4 linked regions of the Nothobranchius furzeri genome follow. Each later gene encodes a partner of the first gene's protein in a complex. Links are inferred from orthologs where the notes say so. Each region holds a gene or a part of one and is shown on either strand. Other genes may lie near its edges.

Region 1 (4,106 bases):
GCTATCCTGTTTGCAGCACGTGCAGAAAAAGTGTGTGAAAGGCAGCAACGCTTCAAATCTCATGACACATCTGCGCGACCATCACCCACAACTCTACAGTCAACGCAAGGCAGGCCAGTTGAGCACAGTAATACCATGGTCAGTAAACCATCTACCAGTGGTTTTGGCGCTGTGAGCAGGTGCCAGGTCATGCTGAAAAATGAAATCTTCATCTCCATAAAGCTTTTCAGCAGATGGAAGCATGAAGTGCTCCAACATCTCCTGATAGCTAGCTGCATTGACCCTGCCCTTGATAAAACACAGTGGACCAACACCAGCAGCTGGCATGGCGCCCCAGACCATCACTGATTGTGGGTACTTGACACTGGACTTCAGGCATGTTGGCATTTCCCTCTGCCCAGTCTCTGGCACCTTGATTTCCGAATGACATGCAGAATTTGCTTTCATCTGAAAAAAGTACTTTGGACCACTGAGCAACAGTCCAGTGCTGCTTCTCTGTAGCCCAGGTCAGGCGCTTCTGCCGCTGTTTCTGGTTCAAAGGTGGCTTGACCTGGGGAATGCGGCACCTGTAGCCCATTTCCTGCACACGCCTGTACACGGTGGCTCTGGACGTTTCTACTCCAGACTCAGTCCACTGCTTCCGCAGGTCCCCCAAGGTCTGGAATCGGTCCTTCTCCACAATCTTCCTCAGGGTCCGGTCACCTCTTCTGGTTGTGCAGCGTTTTCTGCCACACTTGTTCCTTCCCACAGACTTCCCACTGAGGTGCCTTGATACAGCACTCTGGGAACAGCCTATTCGTTCAGAAATGTCTTTCTGTGTCTTAGCCTCTTGCTTGAGGGTGTCAATGATGGCCTTCTGGACAGCAGTCAGGTCGGCAGTGTTACCCATAATTGTGGTTTTGAGTAATGAACCACGCTGGGAGTCTTTAAAAGCCTCAGGAATCTTTTGCAGGTGTTTAGAGTTCATTAGTTGATTCAGATGATTAGGTTAATAGCTCGTTTAGAGAACCTTTTCATGATATGCTAATTTTTGAGATAGGAGTTTTGGGTTTTCATGAGCTGTACGCCACAATCATCAATATTAGAAACAATAAAAGGCTTGAACTACTTCAGTTGTGTTTAATGAGTCTAATATATATGAAAGTCTAATGTTTACCAGTACATTACAGACAATAATGAACTTTATCACAATATGCTAATTTTTTAGAAGGACCTGTATATCGACGGAGAGCGAGAGAGCGAGAGAGAGAGAGAGAGAGAGAGCCCAAGACCAAGACCAAGACCAAGGCCTAACATAACCTTGGAGGTTGATGGCTCTGTGTAAGAGCATTGGGATAGATTTTGGAACGGCTCAGGTTCTAACTTCATGACAAAGTTGTAAATAGTTTGTTCCAATCCTTCTTCTCATCTGTGCGACATTCACTCTAACTGATTGGCCTGGCCAGCTCATCTCTCTGGCTGCAGCTTACATTCCCAAGTGAAGGAACCACAAACAATCAGAGAGGGTCCTGCTCTTCACCATCTCTGATTGGTTTAGACCAAGACATGGGTCTGTTGTTGAACAACAGGGAAACTATTTTCAGTGTCAGAGACTTTTTTTTTTTACTTGAAAAGGTCGCAGTCTATAGCCCTGCCACACTGTTGTGACAATGTTTGCTGGGCAGGTTTGTTCCCAAACCATACATGACACCCCCCCCCACCCCCACCCCCAAAAAAATCCTGGAGCCGCCCATGTAAGGTGCTATACAAACGGACCACCTACTGTAATTATCAAGTTACAGAAGTCATCACAAACTGCTGAGCCCTCCGCATGTGACCCATCCCTGCTGCAGCAGCGGCTGCGCTCGGTAACTATTTGGTGGTTGAATACTTAATACTAAATAATAATATCACAATATAATACTAATAGAGTACTTTTTTATTCATCCATTCTTAAACAGCAGCAAAGCTCGGGGAGACGATTTCCACACAGACAGGAGGTATCAGTCGGGTCAGTAAAGTAGTAAACACCATTTTTACCAAATAATTCTGGATTTTCCGCTCTCGCGTTCGGGAGCGGCTCACATGGGCAACAGCTACTGATGGATTAACCAGGAGCATGGACGTAATTTTGGGGGGGGACAGGGGGGACATGTCCCCTCCACTTTTTCCAAAGTCAAGTTTTGACCCCTGCACTTTTTACCATCCAAAAACAATATTACACTATATTAAATTGACACTGGTTGAGCTCTAGGACCAAGCAGAAAACAACCGTTTGTGTTGAAGCCTGTTTCCCATTAGAACATACTGTAAAGATACCCCCCCCCCCCCCGTGTCCCCCCCACTTCTAACGTGAAAATTACGTCCTTGACCAGGAGTCCCCTTTAGAGGTGGGAATGAGAAAACTGGGAGGCGTTCATTCATTTCTACGCCACCTGTGTTAAAACAGCCAACTGACCTGGGAGGGAGCGGGTTCTCCAGCAGCACCCGCGCCGTCTAAAGTCCGCTAAGTGCGCGTTAGTGATGAGCCAGCAGGATACTGGGCATTAACGTAGGAGATAATGGAGTGCTGCCGGTCTATTAGCCACTGAAGCACCGCGCACCGCGCCCGGCTGACTATTGTTGACTAGCGGCTAATTTAGCGGTTCAGAAATAAAGTCAAAAAGGTTACTTACCACTTTTACGGTAGCGGATGTAAATCCCAAAATGTTCCGTTGTTTTCCGTTCCCGGTTCACACCGTCTCACGTATCCAGCAAACTGCTCCCCTCGCGGAACAACCCTGCCTCTCCTGCCGCCCTCCTCGGTGGTTCAGACCGAGACGAACTTCCCGAGCACACAGGCTTATCGAAGCAGAAGTCTCCGCCTCCTCAGACGGGGATCCAGGCACGCTATTGGTCAAGCGTCACTCGTTCCCGTCACTTATTGGCTAAAATGGATGTCTGTTTCAACTCCAGGGTGGGTCCCAGAACGTTCAAATGGTGCGTTCAGTGTCAATGACGAAGTATGAGAATGTTTAACTTCCTAATGGGTTTTGATTACCAGGATTGCATTCAGGTACAACCTTTCACACCAAGATGATCCTTTGAAAATATTGGATAAACTGAGACATGTTTGAGTTAAATACTGCCGCCAATTAGTTAATTTTCTTTAAAAAAATTGAAAACAAATACTATGCATCTATGTAATCAAACTGTGTTTAAAATAACGGTTATTTTTAATAATGTTTAGAGTAAAAATAATATTGAAATAAAAAAAGTTTAATGATATAATACATCTGGTTTAAAAAAATCAATATTTTGGAGTTTATATTCTGGTCGGGTCATACCAAAGACAAAAAAATGGGACCCAATGCCTCCCTGCTTGACACTCAGCTTTAAAGGGTTGGATTGGGGGTTAAACCACCAACTGATGCAGCTCAACGCTTCAGACGGAGATGGGTCAAATGCAGAGAACAAATTTCACCACCCACCAGTGTGTATGACAACTGTTCGGACTTTACTCATTTAGTGTCTTACTATAGGCTGTAAAAATCTAAATACATTACTGCCTATTGAGAAAACACCAAATGTCTGAGAAACAAGTGGATTGAGGCTGCAGCCAGGCCCGGAGTGGCTAATCGGGAGGGTCTGGAGAATTCCCGGTGGGCCGCGCGATGTTTGGGCCGCATGCGGCCGGTGCTCTCGTTTTTGTTTTTTATCATTTTATTTTTATTTTTTGGTGCCGGTGTTCAGTCATGGCACTGAGGCCGCCGGGCTGATCACATACGCTCCTCCCGGCTGTCTCTACCTGCAGGCTGCAGCTCGTTGTTTTTTTCCCCCGTATGCGCCTGTGCGCACCACGTGACCACGCAGTTGACGGAAAGATGGAAAGTAGAAAGAGCAAGGGTGGCGCGGAGAAGGCAAGAATTAAAAAGAGGAAAGCGCTGGAAACAGATGCAGATAAATGTGCAAAAATGAGCACCTTTTTTTTCTCAAACAAGCTCGCGGTCTTTAACTTCAAATGAAGATAAAACGGGTAAGGCAAGTCAAGATGTTAAACTTTATCGGCTGCAAATCACCATTCAAGTTAATTAAGCATCAATAATGAATTATATGGCGTCATGACATAACGTTATGTAATATAATTA
Region 2 (3,998 bases), on another chromosome or scaffold:
TTTAACCGTACTTGTGTCTAACCTGTGCTCTTTATTTGATCCTGCTTTTATGCCAGCTCAGTCTTCATCGTTTCTTCTACTACTCTCGCTTTCAGGATCACAGCTGGGAAATCTAAACTCATACAGCCACACCTTTACAGCAACAGGCTACAGAACGAGTCAGCACACTGAGATCTAGTGGACTGTGTGTGTGCGAGGGACTGTCTGCTGCCAGGGAGAAACCTGAAGATTATCTTCCTGCAACTCCACCAAACAACAATATTAGCACACATGCTAAAGTAAAGTTATCCGAGAAGCTGGTTTTACTGGGATACCAACCTCATCATGTCCTCGATCCCAGCCAGGCTGATGTGCAAACCAACTCCAAAAGGGGAGCCGTCGACTCTAACTTTGACCCTGGCTATGCTGTTTTTCCTTATAAGCAAACAAATGGGAAAGCATTCTAACTCCTTGTTCGTTGCCCTGATGAAGCTTCTCTTCAGACTTCTAATAGATTACCTTGGAGGCAGCGCAGTCAGCTACTTTTTGAAGATTTGAGAAACTTTGCGGCCTTTTTGTTACACTGCTCTGTCACAAGGCTGGAGGACATCGCTGGATTAACTTAGTGGTCGGATTCACCAATCAGAGACTTAACTCTGAGACGGTTGCCCAAATGCAGAAAGATAACTGTTCACTAGCAAAGCTGAAGTTGCTGTTTGGCCATTTTGGGCCATGAGTGCTAAAGTGTTCCTGCTTGATGCTGCAAGACGTCACAATGACTTCAAGCAATATGGAAGAGAGGTGTTCCATCGAACGCTGGGGAGATATCTGTCTATTGTTTTCACAGGTAGGATCATAATAGTGTTTATGCTAGTTAATATAATTAAGGATCATAATAGTGTTTATGCTAGTTAATATAATTAAGGATCATAATAGTGTTTATGCTAGTTAATATAATTAAGGATCATAATAGTGTTTGTGCTAGTTAATATAATTAATACACACATTTGTATGTAAAAGTGAAGATATCACTAATGCTTCAAATAGGAAAATTATGAAAATGCCAAAATTGCAGAAATTTCTATTAAATAATGAGCATTTTGTGACTAACAGAATTTAACAAAGCAACAATAATAATAAGCTATTATACTAGGAGGAAATGTATTTTCATTTTGGTTCAGAAGTCATTAAACATGTTTACAGATTTATTAAACACTTTTTCTGTGCTGGAAACAAGTCCTTAATGTTAAGTCACCTTGAAACAAAACCACAAACACACCAAAATACAACAGAAAAAATAACATATTTCAAAAATACTTCTTTAGTGTTTCATTTCCTTCAAAACACTCACAGTTTCCATTTCTGTAGAGCAAGAAAGGATCCTGCAGCTGGAACTCCAGGTCTTTATTTATGGGCTCAACAAGGTTCTGTGCACTCAGTCGATTCATAATGGTGAAGCCATGGTGAGGGGAGGCAGACCTTCATAAGGACCCAGGAAAAACATTACCTCCTTAATTGCACTTCACATTGCTTTGGGTACAATATTTACTCCACATTTGATTGTTTTTAATTGACCATTTAAAGCAATACTAAAGAGTTTTCGACACTTTAAGCTATTGCCTTCAAACTGGTTTCAGTGGTTCTTCAGCCATAAAGTTGAACATCTTCACATGGGACAGCACTCAGTAGCCCTCTGCTGACCAGAAACTACATTTAACAGTTTTATGGTTTGGGTCGGCACAAGTGTGGGAGGTCTCTACCTGCTAAAAAGCAGGAGCTGTTTACTGTGCTAGTAATTAATATAAAGGATAGCAGTTAACTTTACTATTGATTTAAGTAGCTCCCAGTCCAATTCAAAGTAACCTACAACAAATTCGTGTCCTGTTTATTTTTTTAACAGAAAGATTTGCCTTTGTGTATTTACTGGTACTTTTGTTATTTTTCTTCTTCTATTCTCTAAGTGTATGTGCTTCTGTAACGAGTGAATTTACCCACAAAATTAATAAAGTCTATTATATTTCCTTATAACTAAAGTTTGTAGGTGGTCGTTTTAGTTCTTCATGCTTTAACTGATTAAAAATAAAGTTTATTACAACGTTATAACATAATATTTCAGTTTCAATCTCTAAACACTGTAATTTACGTTCGATTTACTGAATCACAGAGTCCACTTTATCTTTGTTTACAAATTTCAAGGCCTCACGTGCGCAGACGGCGGAACAACCATCGTGGCTCTCAGGTATTCTTACCTTGCATAAACAAACAGGGTTCCCTCAACTTCGGTTTTCTCCTGGAACAAATAGAGATAACGACTCAAACCTAGAAACCGCAAATCCAAACTAGCTAAATAAATTTAGCGAGGGTGATAAGCTAACTGAAAGCTAATAAGGCGTTAAATTTTACAATTAGAAAGTACCTAAGATGCATTAATTGTGTTCGCGTTAAAACAACATACTAGACAACGCTATCTTAATTAACTAAACAAATAAAGACATTTACTTAAAAAACAAAACAAACAAACAAACAACCCCCCCCCCCAAAAAAAAAACAACAACAATATTTTCTGTTTTGAATCAAAGCTCAGAAGCTAAGTGTGAAGCTAGCTTTGTTGGCTCTCCACCAAATATTTCCCGAAACTTTTCCAGGGTAAATTCTCTTACTTACCCATTCGTTTGCTTTTGAATTGAAGTTGTAAAGAGCAACCTGACCGGTAACATCGAGCAGTTTGTTAATGTATGGATCGTGTCTCTGCAAAGCAGCTAAACTCATCAGATGTCCAGCATTAATCGCCATCTTTGCTTATGATTTTCTGCCGCACGGACGAATTTTTGCAAACACCTATAACTTCCGGTATTTACGGAAATCCCACCACTGAAAAGGTTCCCCAGAGGAGTTTTTTTAATTCCGCGGGGAATAATAATAATAATAATAATAATAATAATAATAATAATAATAATAATAATAATAATAAAAACAATGTAATTGCAAATTCTGAGAGAAAATGCAGAAAAAATATGTCTGAAACCAAACCCACAACAATGTGAACATAGTTTGAAAAGGTAGTTTGCCAACTGAAGTTGAAGCTTATTTCCTACACATAATGTCATCCTTTGAGATATTAGAAAAACAAGTTTCAAACTTTTTTGGACTTTTATGCAAGCCAGTTCAAATTAAGGGAATACATGTAATGTGTATACTCTAGGCATTTAACCCTCTCAGGCTCAAAATAAGTTTTGATAAAGGAACAAACAACTAAGTCTTTCAGGGATACATCTGAGTTAAAAAAATGCTCATGAAATACGTATGTGGAGTAACCAGTTAGGTAGGTTTTAACTGTTGCAAATCTGCAGCGCCTGCCTCCAGAGGGTTAAGAAAGTTTCATGTGATTGCAGGTTTCTTAAAATATAAAAATGATAATAAACTTTTAACCCACATATTTAATTTCCACCAAAATAATATTTAGCAATGTGCAACAAACTGTGAAGCAGAAAAACACGGAAATAGATACCTATTTTAACAACTTGTTCACACCTCATTCATTGGATGATCAAAATTTGGAGTTATTTATTATTAAAATTGAGTTCAGTAGCTATTTGCAATGCAAAAGCCTGCAATTATAATGTTAATTTCATGTAGCCTAATATGTTTCCTACCTCAAGTTTCATGGAAATATGTACACATCACAATGGTTTTTTTCATTTTAACTTGTGTTTTTACGCCTAAAATTTCTATTGTTGATCATTTTATTTACCCAAGTTGTTTGGTATATATTTTGTTAATCTTGAAAGAAAATGAAAGCAAAAACAGAACAATATTTCACAACGCCTGACATGGTTTTATGAATGCAGTTTATAATTTCAGATTTATTACTCAGACCTATTTGAGAAGAACTTGCATTATTTTCCTTGTTATGAAGTCAAAGTTAGATTTTCCTTTTATTCAAATCCTAAACTGCTAATAAGTGAATGAAAGTGTCTGAAAATTCTATTTAAAAAATCATGTTTATTATTTGACCCTAG
Region 3 (4,024 bases), on another chromosome or scaffold:
ATAACATATTCCAAACAGAAGGTTGCTATTTTAGCTCCGGATCGCTCCTGTGCTGACGGGACCTACGTCTTTAGAGGTTGTCTTTTATTTAGCTCAAATGATCTCTTCAGTGTTTAGAGGCTCTTCTTTTAAGTTTGCTTTGTACCTGAAATATTCCCAAACAGCATAAGTTGTTCTTTTTAGACACCCAAGTGGACTTCTCAGCGTGATGACATAAAAATAAAGTCATCACGACATCGTGAAGACTTTATGGAACATCTCAAAATTTGGACACATTGTAAACCATTTAAAAGAACTGTAAATTCAACCACTCATCTGTTATATACATTTACATAAGTTACATTTATTTATCTTTATTTTTCTTAATCCTTGTCTCCTACGTGCAGTTTATTTTTTTCATGATGGTATTGGAACTGACACGGTTTCCACTCTACAACAGCAGACTTGTTCATGCTGATCCAAGCTATTCAGGGCTTTTTTGCCCTGAGGGCTGCTTGCAAGGCATTCATTTCTACCAGAGGCCACTGCAAATATATTAAACCAGTTTCCCACACCTATAAATATCTTTGTTGGCACTTAATATTTGGTTCTTTTTGAAGTTTTTGAGTTGTCTAAAGCATAAAAAAGAACAAATGTACATTTTTTTCTTCAATATTTTTCAGGTGCTGATCCAGCTCTGTGCAGGTGCTGGATGAATCAGAACTGGAGCAACTTAAAGTGGGAAGAATTCAGGAGTTCTTTAAAAAAAAATCTTATTATTTTTTAATAAATATTTTTCAAAGAGCAGTGGTGTCAAGTTATTATGTTTTTTAAAATATTGTTAAAATACAGTTTATGTCTGCCTTCAAAATGTATGAATGTTTTAAACTGGTTTTGTAAAAATTATTTTAACGGACCAATAAGAGGTAGGCCTAGATTGTTTTTATGGTCGGGTTTAGCAAAGTTGTCCCCATCCTGCAAATGTAAATATTCATAAAACTCATAAACACTGAACATACCTATTTTGCTTTTATTTTACATGCTCGCTAATTTGACTGCGTTATTACCAAATACACATTTTTATTCTGGATTAGGTTTCCCCTCTTGCATGATGTGATGAACACCAAACATATTAGTTTTCTGAGCCTTACTTCCTGTGATAAAGTCAACTTGCAGGAAACGTGTTGTTGAGGTTCCTGTATACCAGTAGGGGTGATCATCAGTTCTGCGTCCTGAACTGCGTCGCCTCTCCCCCCACACAGCCTTTTTTTTAACTTGCAGAAGTGCGGATGTGAGCTGCATATTGATACCTACGGAACAGGCCGCCAGTTTTCTTGTAGCTATGCGGGCTTAAGCAATGGTCGTTCTGCGGAGCTATGAATCCCGAAGAGCAGACGGTAACGTGGTTGATATCGCTGGGAGTGCTCAGCTCGCCCAAGAAGAACATAGCGGACCCGGAGGAGTTTCTGAAGACATCACTCAAGGATGGGGTCGTCCTGTGCAAGCTCACGGAGCGGCTCATACCTAGCTTCACTCCCAAGGTGAGCTGCTGATTTATCAAGTAAATGGAGAATGATCAGCAGAGATTTGGAAATAAGGGAGGGGTTTGATGAAAGCGATACCGACAGGAACTTCTTGCACTTCACAGGCTCAGCTTTCTGTTTGCGAGCTTAGAGTTTCAACAGCAAACTTAGTTCTTTCGCGTAGTGAGTGTTGCGTTGGATAACGGGAGCATCTAGTGAGTTTACTGACGAGGGGTTTTCAGTAAGTGGCTTCCTGTGAAGAGATAAAATGTTACGCGTTCTTGATCTGAGTGAATAGGTCTATCAAGGCTGCACTAAACGCCCCCTGTTAGGGGTAGAATGGACAGAGGGTTTAATTAAAGTCACGGAATTTGGAATTGTACTGTGATGCATGTGTATTTTAATGTTAAGTCTGGCGATAAGAAAGTTGATAGTGATAACAGTTGCAAATTCAGGTCGTCACTTCCTCTTGAGCGGCTGCTCTTCCCAGTGTGTACGACCTCCCCAGAGCAGAAGACAACCGGAAGTTGCTGCTTCTGCTTTACTCGACTCACTCTTTTTAGCTAGTTTCGTATCTTTACTTTTGTAGTTTCATGTTAGACTCAATAAAAAAATTCCGGTTAATTCTAAAACCAAATAAGTATTTCTTCTTCTAATGTCTCAATCACCTCGTGCTCGTCAGTAGCACAAGGCGGACTTTTATTTTGAAGGGCAGTGCTGGGAGCGGATGTTTTGCTTAAATATGGCTCTTGGCGTTTCACTGGGGTTTATGGTTATGTCTGCATGAAGGAGACGCACGAAGAACCAAGCACTGTTTCAGATCACGAGCTCACCATTGTTGGAATGCCACTGCATCGTTATTATAATCACAAATGGAACTAAAGTGATGCTTGAAGCGGTTTAATGTGTGTGTCTGATGACTGTTTGGCACACTGAACCGATGGACAGTCTGTGTTTATAACGTACTTATTCCGTGTGTTCAGTATTGTCAGGATCCCAGAACTGAAAGCGACTGCATTTCCAACATTAAGGAGTTTTTAAGAGGATGCTCGTCCTTGAAAGTTGAGGTGAGTTGACTCGTTTATTTTATTAAAGGTGTGTAATTATGATAATAACATAAGTTTTTTTTATCTTCTTTATTCATCCCTGGCTATTGCAGTTTTCAGAAATATTTGTTAACCATCTTGAATGTGTTGTGATCTGCTAAGCACGCTGACATATGGTGTCATGTTTATATGGATCATGGTAGGGAACTCACTCTAAACTAAAAGAGAAAGATAATTGATTGCATCACGCTGTATAAGAAACACAAACACGAAGTTTACTTCCTCACAAACTTCTCTTTTACATTAAAATGCAAATGAATAAATGTTTGGGCGCAGGCTGAAAGCTCTCAGAGACATCTCTAACTAGCCTGGCCAGCATGCCTCCTTCTGTGTAGAATTAAACAGAGGACGAGACTGGCAGGCCAGGCTATCTCTTAACTGTCCTGGGTTGCAAAAGTATGTCCTATAGGAGAAAGAGTTGAATCATTTGCAGATGTTAGGAGTTTCTTGGTTATTTTACCAGCAGCTTCCACAGTGGACATTAATGACGTTTCCAGTGTTATAAATAACCTGTTTTGGTTTTGAAACACATCACTTGGTTTCTTTAAACAGTTAATTGAGTCAGCAGGCTTGGCTTGCTTTAGTGGTTGAGTAGTTCTGTCCAGCTGGGTTGTTATGTCTGGGAGGTCCTGTTAGCTTTTACCCGCCAGCTCCGCTTTAGCCCATAATTAGACCTTCTGCCACCAGTCAGTAGGTCAGTGGCAGATGTTTTCTGAGACGCTGTTGAATGTGTCAGCCAGAGGATGTCTGTGTGACTACTGGAGCTGGCCCTTACCTCAGTGATTATGGTTAAAGTATTTCTATCTTTTTTTGCTATGGCATTAGTGGCAGCTCACTGTGACTACACACACACACACACACACACACACACACACACACACACACACACACACACAAAAGCAGATATACTGCTTTCACTTCTGCTCTTAGATAAACAAAGAGGAAGAAGCACCGATTACTGATCAGGGCCTGTTTATTCACTCTGTGCTCACATTTATGATCGTACACCTTCACTGACATTTAGAATTGTATAGCATACTTTACTGCTACTTTCATAATTAGCATATTAATACTGATTAGTAGCCTTGACCTGTAATCTGTTTTACACACACACACGCACGCACGTTCGTACGTACGTACGTATGTATGTATGTATATGTATATATATATATATATATATATATATATATATATATATATACATATATATATACATATACATACACATATATACATATGTGTATGTATATGTATATTTGTGTATATATGTAATGTGTATATATGTATATAATGTATAATGTATGTATGAGCTTGTATATACGTATATTTTTAGTTTTTTCAGTTTTTGTTACAAAGTAAATTTTCTCTTTCTCCACCATTGTGTGTGCAATAAAGAACCAGAACTCAGATGTGTTC
Region 4 (4,256 bases), on another chromosome or scaffold:
AGCGTCAGAATCTGCAGAAAAACTCAGAAAATCCCTGAATATGGGTTTAGCAGCAGGGACACGCATATAAATAGAACCGCATGTCCAAGGATTGCTGCATAAATCTCTAATTATATAAATCTGAGTAGAAAATTGTCTCACTGCAGTAAGCCAGCGAGTTGACGACAAGTAAAAGATGTAGATAAGAATAAAGTCCTCAGATATGTCAAATGTTTTGTTTTTCTTTTGGAGAACAGAACAAAGAAACGTGTGCATAAAACTGAAACATGAATGAACTGACTAAGACGATGGAGTCAAACTTTTGCTTCTTTATCTTGTTTTTTTTTATGGATCCGAGCCTGAAGACTTGTCCTTTTTTGTGCGCAGCATCATGTGAGGAGGCTGTTGGAGGACAACATGGAACGCCCTCTATTAGAATGTGTCAGAAGTCACAGCTCGTCCTCGGAGCTCATTGTTCTGTGCCCTCTCGTGCACATTTGCGTAGGAAAACGGATGAAGAAGTACAGCTAAAAGCAACTTTTCCGGGAAAATGCCTCGGCCCTCCCCGGTGCACCGGGAGTTCTGTAGTTCTGAGAAAGATGACAAAAGAACACGGGGAACTTATTGCACCTGGAACAGCAAGAAGCAACAAGCCCGTCAACTCGAAAAAGTAGCTAAATTTTTACGTTTCCTGCTATTCCTGCGTGAATCTCACCAGGATACAGAAACGAGCCTAGAACCTAAAAACAGCTTTAATTTACATGAAAGGGAACATTCATATTTACACCTTTTTCCTCTCTAAACACAGTTTTTTTTTAAATGGCACCAGCTTTAATTTATCTCTTGCATCTGCTCAGTTTTGACATTTAAAATGTCATTTACACCGAGGGGAACGCCGCCGCTACTTTATGACTCAAAAACAATAGTTTGTTTTAAAACTATCTAAAGAATTATTAGCCAAGCTCGCTGCAATAAAAAGTGTTTTTAATTGTGGCTTCATAATCAACACCCCAACATTATACCGCCCTGTTCTTCTTCTGCTGTGAATAATGCAGAAACACATAAGAGAACTAGACATGCATGTTTCCAATAAGCAGCTGTTATTCTATTTTTGCTGATTAAAAAAAATGTGCACATTTAAATATGGAAAAATCCCACAAGAATAGTGGAATTTATAAGAAAGAATGAGTCAATAAAGACCTATATGACTTTGAAAGTATAAATTATCCACTTATCATTTCTCCACACTTACAGGCTTATGTCATTATTGACGTTTGGATTTTCTGCTGACTGGAAGCCAGTTAGTTAATTTATCTTGAGAAATCAATTAAATTTTTTTACTGAGTCTCTAACAGCAAATCTTCCATTTTTGCATCATTCTTGGATACATTTAGCCAAACTGAAATAAATAAATGACTCAAGTGATTATTTTCTACCTCTTCAAAAGAAGAATCCTCAGATTTGTTGTAATTGTTCCAGGTAGGTGATTGCAATATTGGTCAACTGTTGCAGCAGTTGTGGCATTTCCCATCCTTAACAGACTTAATGGATTCATATATTTTGTTTTTAGAATAAAATAAATATCAGATTTTCCCCCTTTTGCCCTTCAGATAAAACTCCTGTAAGGGGAATTCTGTTGTAGGGAGAGGAGTTAAGCGTGTTTAGGCTGGGTTAGATAAAACTTCTGTTTTCTGGAATATTGAATGTGTTACTTTAATAGGATGTGTGGGTCGGAGCATTGGTTTTATCCTGGCTGTCTGCAGAAGGACCCTTGATTTTACGATGAACAACCGAGTCTGCAACGCTTTAGCATTTTATAATGCATCAGCTGCAGAGCCCCAAACTACAAATATATAAGCAAAAATACAATTAAATGCATGTATTGCATTGCAGTTGATAAAATGTTTATCAGATCATCTCTGGACTTCAGTTGAAAGTGACCCTGTGGATCTCTGAAGAAATAAAACCTCCACTTTTGTAAATGAAACAGGAAAAAACAGCCCTGAATGTTCATGTCTTCTGTTTGAGCTTAGACGACTTGCAAGCTTCATGTCCAGACATGCCGATCTGGGTGTGCGTGCGCGAGACGAACCCAGAGCAACGTGATTTACTGGAGATGAGGTGAGCACAGAGGAGATGTGACCTCAGACCCGTGCGTGACTGGAGGCCTTTAGGGACCCACAAATTTTGACTCACCTGCGTTGTAGAACCGGTCTAAAACTGTGGTCTCCCCAAAGTCCAGCCTCCCAAAGTTGACAGTGTCCAGTTTGCTGCCCACCCGGTCGCACGCGTCCTTCAGACACTGCAGGGCCATGCTCTCCGCGTTGTTCTGCGGGCTCGCCTCGCCGTTCACCACGTAAGCCACCGTCACCGGTCTGCTTTTACCGGGCTTACAGGTGGACAGCAACCCCCCGCCCTCCATTAGCTCATCCCCGGAGGTGGGACTGACCCTGCTGCCTGGGAGCAGCGGGTCCTGCCAGAAAGTCCCGGCTGCTGGGATCCCGGGAGCGCCGCCGCCTCCTCCAGCGCCGGTGCTGCTGGGATGTTCCCCGCTGACGGTCTCTCTGCCGGAACAAAAGCTGGGAACCGGGAATGAGATTCCGTCCTGGTCTAGATTCATCTCGTTTCAAGTGTCAGTTAAAGAGTTGATCGCAGTGAGCGGCTCCTCCAGCAGTCCTCCATGGAGAGGCGGCGTTACGCACGGAGCTTCTGCGCAAACACGACATGCGACTGAGCGTTTCCACGCGGGTAAACAGCCTGCTAGAGGCGGCAGGGGCGCAGCTCCGCGTCAGGCTGCATGTTTCTGTTTGATGACGCCGAAAATCAACCGAAGTCAGTCACAACAACAAAGCGAAGGAGGAGAGGAAAGCGCAGCGAAATCCGCGCCACATTCCGCCTCAGCTCGACAGATTCCTGCGCTCCTCTCTCCCACAGCACTTCTCAAAGTTAGGCAGCGGAGCAGCAACGCCCACAGGAATCACCAACGTCACAGCGAGTCGAAGTTGGAGCTGCGCTACGTCATCTTTTATAAGAGACAGAGAGAGCGTGCGCATGCACTGACAGGCGCCTCGAATTTGCGGGCACACCCTGCCCGTTTCTGCTGTTATCTCTCCGAGCAGACCCACGCACTGGGCGGGCAGACAGCTGTAGGAGCTGGGTGGAGGCTCGAAGCTGCTTCAGGACACCAGAACAAGCGCACCTTCTAAAACCCATCAAGTTTCACACCAGAGCTTCATGAAAATGTCATTTAACATTCTCCCTCTCCTGATAATAACTTTTTGCTTTCCTTGACGTTGGATGTGCTACTACTAGTTTATCCGTTTAATTATAGATCCACTAGGATACATACAATAAAGTTTATCTCTCACCAAATAGAATATTTACTAAGACATCACAATATAACTATAGACACATTACTTTGTGTGTGTGTGTGTGTGTGTGTGTGTGCGTGCGTGCGTGTGTGTGTGTGTGTGTGTGTGTGTGTGTGTGTGTGTGTGTGCGTGTGTGTGTGTGTGTGTGTGTGTGTGTGTGTGTGTGTGTGTGTGTGTGTGTGTGTGTGTGTGACTGCTCTATCTTCTCGATCCCCAGTGAGTCATAGAGGATGGCTGCTTATACTGAGCCAGGATTCTCTGAAGGTTTCTTCCTGTTAAAAGGGAGTTTTCCTCTCCACTGTTGCTGCATGCTTGCTTAGAGGATTGCTGTATAGTCACTGACACTAGTCAGTGACTTGATGCAATTTTCTGGGTTCCTTATATAGGAAACATTATTTCTGATTGGCTTAATGAACTGACCTGAATTGGAATGTTTATTATGTGAAGTGCCATGAGACGACTCTTGTCGTGATTTGGCGCTATATAAATAAAATTGAATTGAATTGAACTGAAAATAAATCTAGTCCCTTACTGTTTTCCCCCCCTCCGTTTGAAACTTTCTCTGTTGTTGCACAGCAACGTAATGCCATCGCCCAGGCCCTATTCCAGGCAGGAAGCCCATTATCAGTTCCGGCTCGTGTGTAAAACCTGTAGAGCAACTGGTTGAAACAAACACCGAATTTTCCTTTGTGGAGTGACGTCATGGTCCCCGCACAGAAGCGTCGTGCTTCAACCTTTTCCTGTCTAAGGTCGCCCTCTTGTGGTCACAATCTGACTTTACACAGAAAGATGGTCAGTTTGCGCAAAGTCCTGAATCTAGGAGTGATGAGATGAAACGTAATTAATAACTAAATCCCTCTTTGCCAGGAACTCCATTCTAATGCAGCCATTGATGAAGACATTTAT

The links. Proteins that work in one complex are often made in the same cells at the same time.
Region 2: pak1 (region 1) and dcp1a share a complex: the UniProt entries of both Homo sapiens proteins name them as parts of the cytoplasmic complex. The link is inferred for Nothobranchius furzeri from reciprocal best matches to the Homo sapiens genes PAK1 and DCP1A.
Region 3: pak1 (region 1) and arhgef6 share a complex: the UniProt entries of both Homo sapiens proteins name them as parts of the cytoplasmic complex. The link is inferred for Nothobranchius furzeri from reciprocal best matches to the Homo sapiens genes PAK1 and ARHGEF6.
Region 4: pak1 (region 1) and map3k5 share a complex: the UniProt entries of both Homo sapiens proteins name them as parts of the cytoplasmic complex. The link is inferred for Nothobranchius furzeri from reciprocal best matches to the Homo sapiens genes PAK1 and MAP3K5.

Annotation. Positions count from the first base shown.
Region 1 is NC_091753.1:60,585,816-60,589,921, reverse strand, and holds the start of pak1 (serine/threonine-protein kinase PAK 1), read right to left. Parts: upstream 2,807-4,106; 5' UTR 2,655-2,806; intron 1-2,654. UniProt on the Homo sapiens protein: Protein kinase involved in intracellular signaling pathways downstream of integrins and receptor-type kinases that plays an important role in cytoskeleton dynamics, in cell adhesion, migration, proliferation, apoptosis, mitosis, and in vesicle-mediated transport processes.
Region 2 is NC_091755.1:32,995,947-32,999,944, forward strand, and holds the start of dcp1a (mRNA-decapping enzyme 1A), read right to left. Parts: upstream 2,812-3,998; 5' UTR 2,773-2,811; coding exon 2,644-2,772; intron 2,270-2,643; coding exon 2,229-2,269; intron 1,459-2,228; coding exon 1,331-1,458; intron 1-1,330. UniProt on the Homo sapiens protein: Necessary for the degradation of mRNAs, both in normal mRNA turnover and in nonsense-mediated mRNA decay. Removes the 7-methyl guanine cap structure from mRNA molecules, yielding a 5'-phosphorylated mRNA fragment and 7m-GDP.
Region 3 is NC_091741.1:83,155,375-83,159,398, reverse strand, and holds the start of arhgef6 (rho guanine nucleotide exchange factor 6), read left to right. Parts: upstream 1-1,213; 5' UTR 1,214-1,355; coding exon 1,356-1,520; intron 1,521-2,485; coding exon 2,486-2,569; intron 2,570-4,024. UniProt on the Homo sapiens protein: Acts as a RAC1 guanine nucleotide exchange factor (GEF).
Region 4 is NC_091742.1:11,510,396-11,514,651, forward strand, and holds the start of map3k5 (mitogen-activated protein kinase kinase kinase 5), read right to left. Parts: upstream 2,812-4,256; 5' UTR 2,600-2,811; coding exon 2,176-2,599; intron 1-2,175. UniProt on the Homo sapiens protein: Serine/threonine kinase which acts as an essential component of the MAP kinase signal transduction pathway. Plays an important role in the cascades of cellular responses evoked by changes in the environment.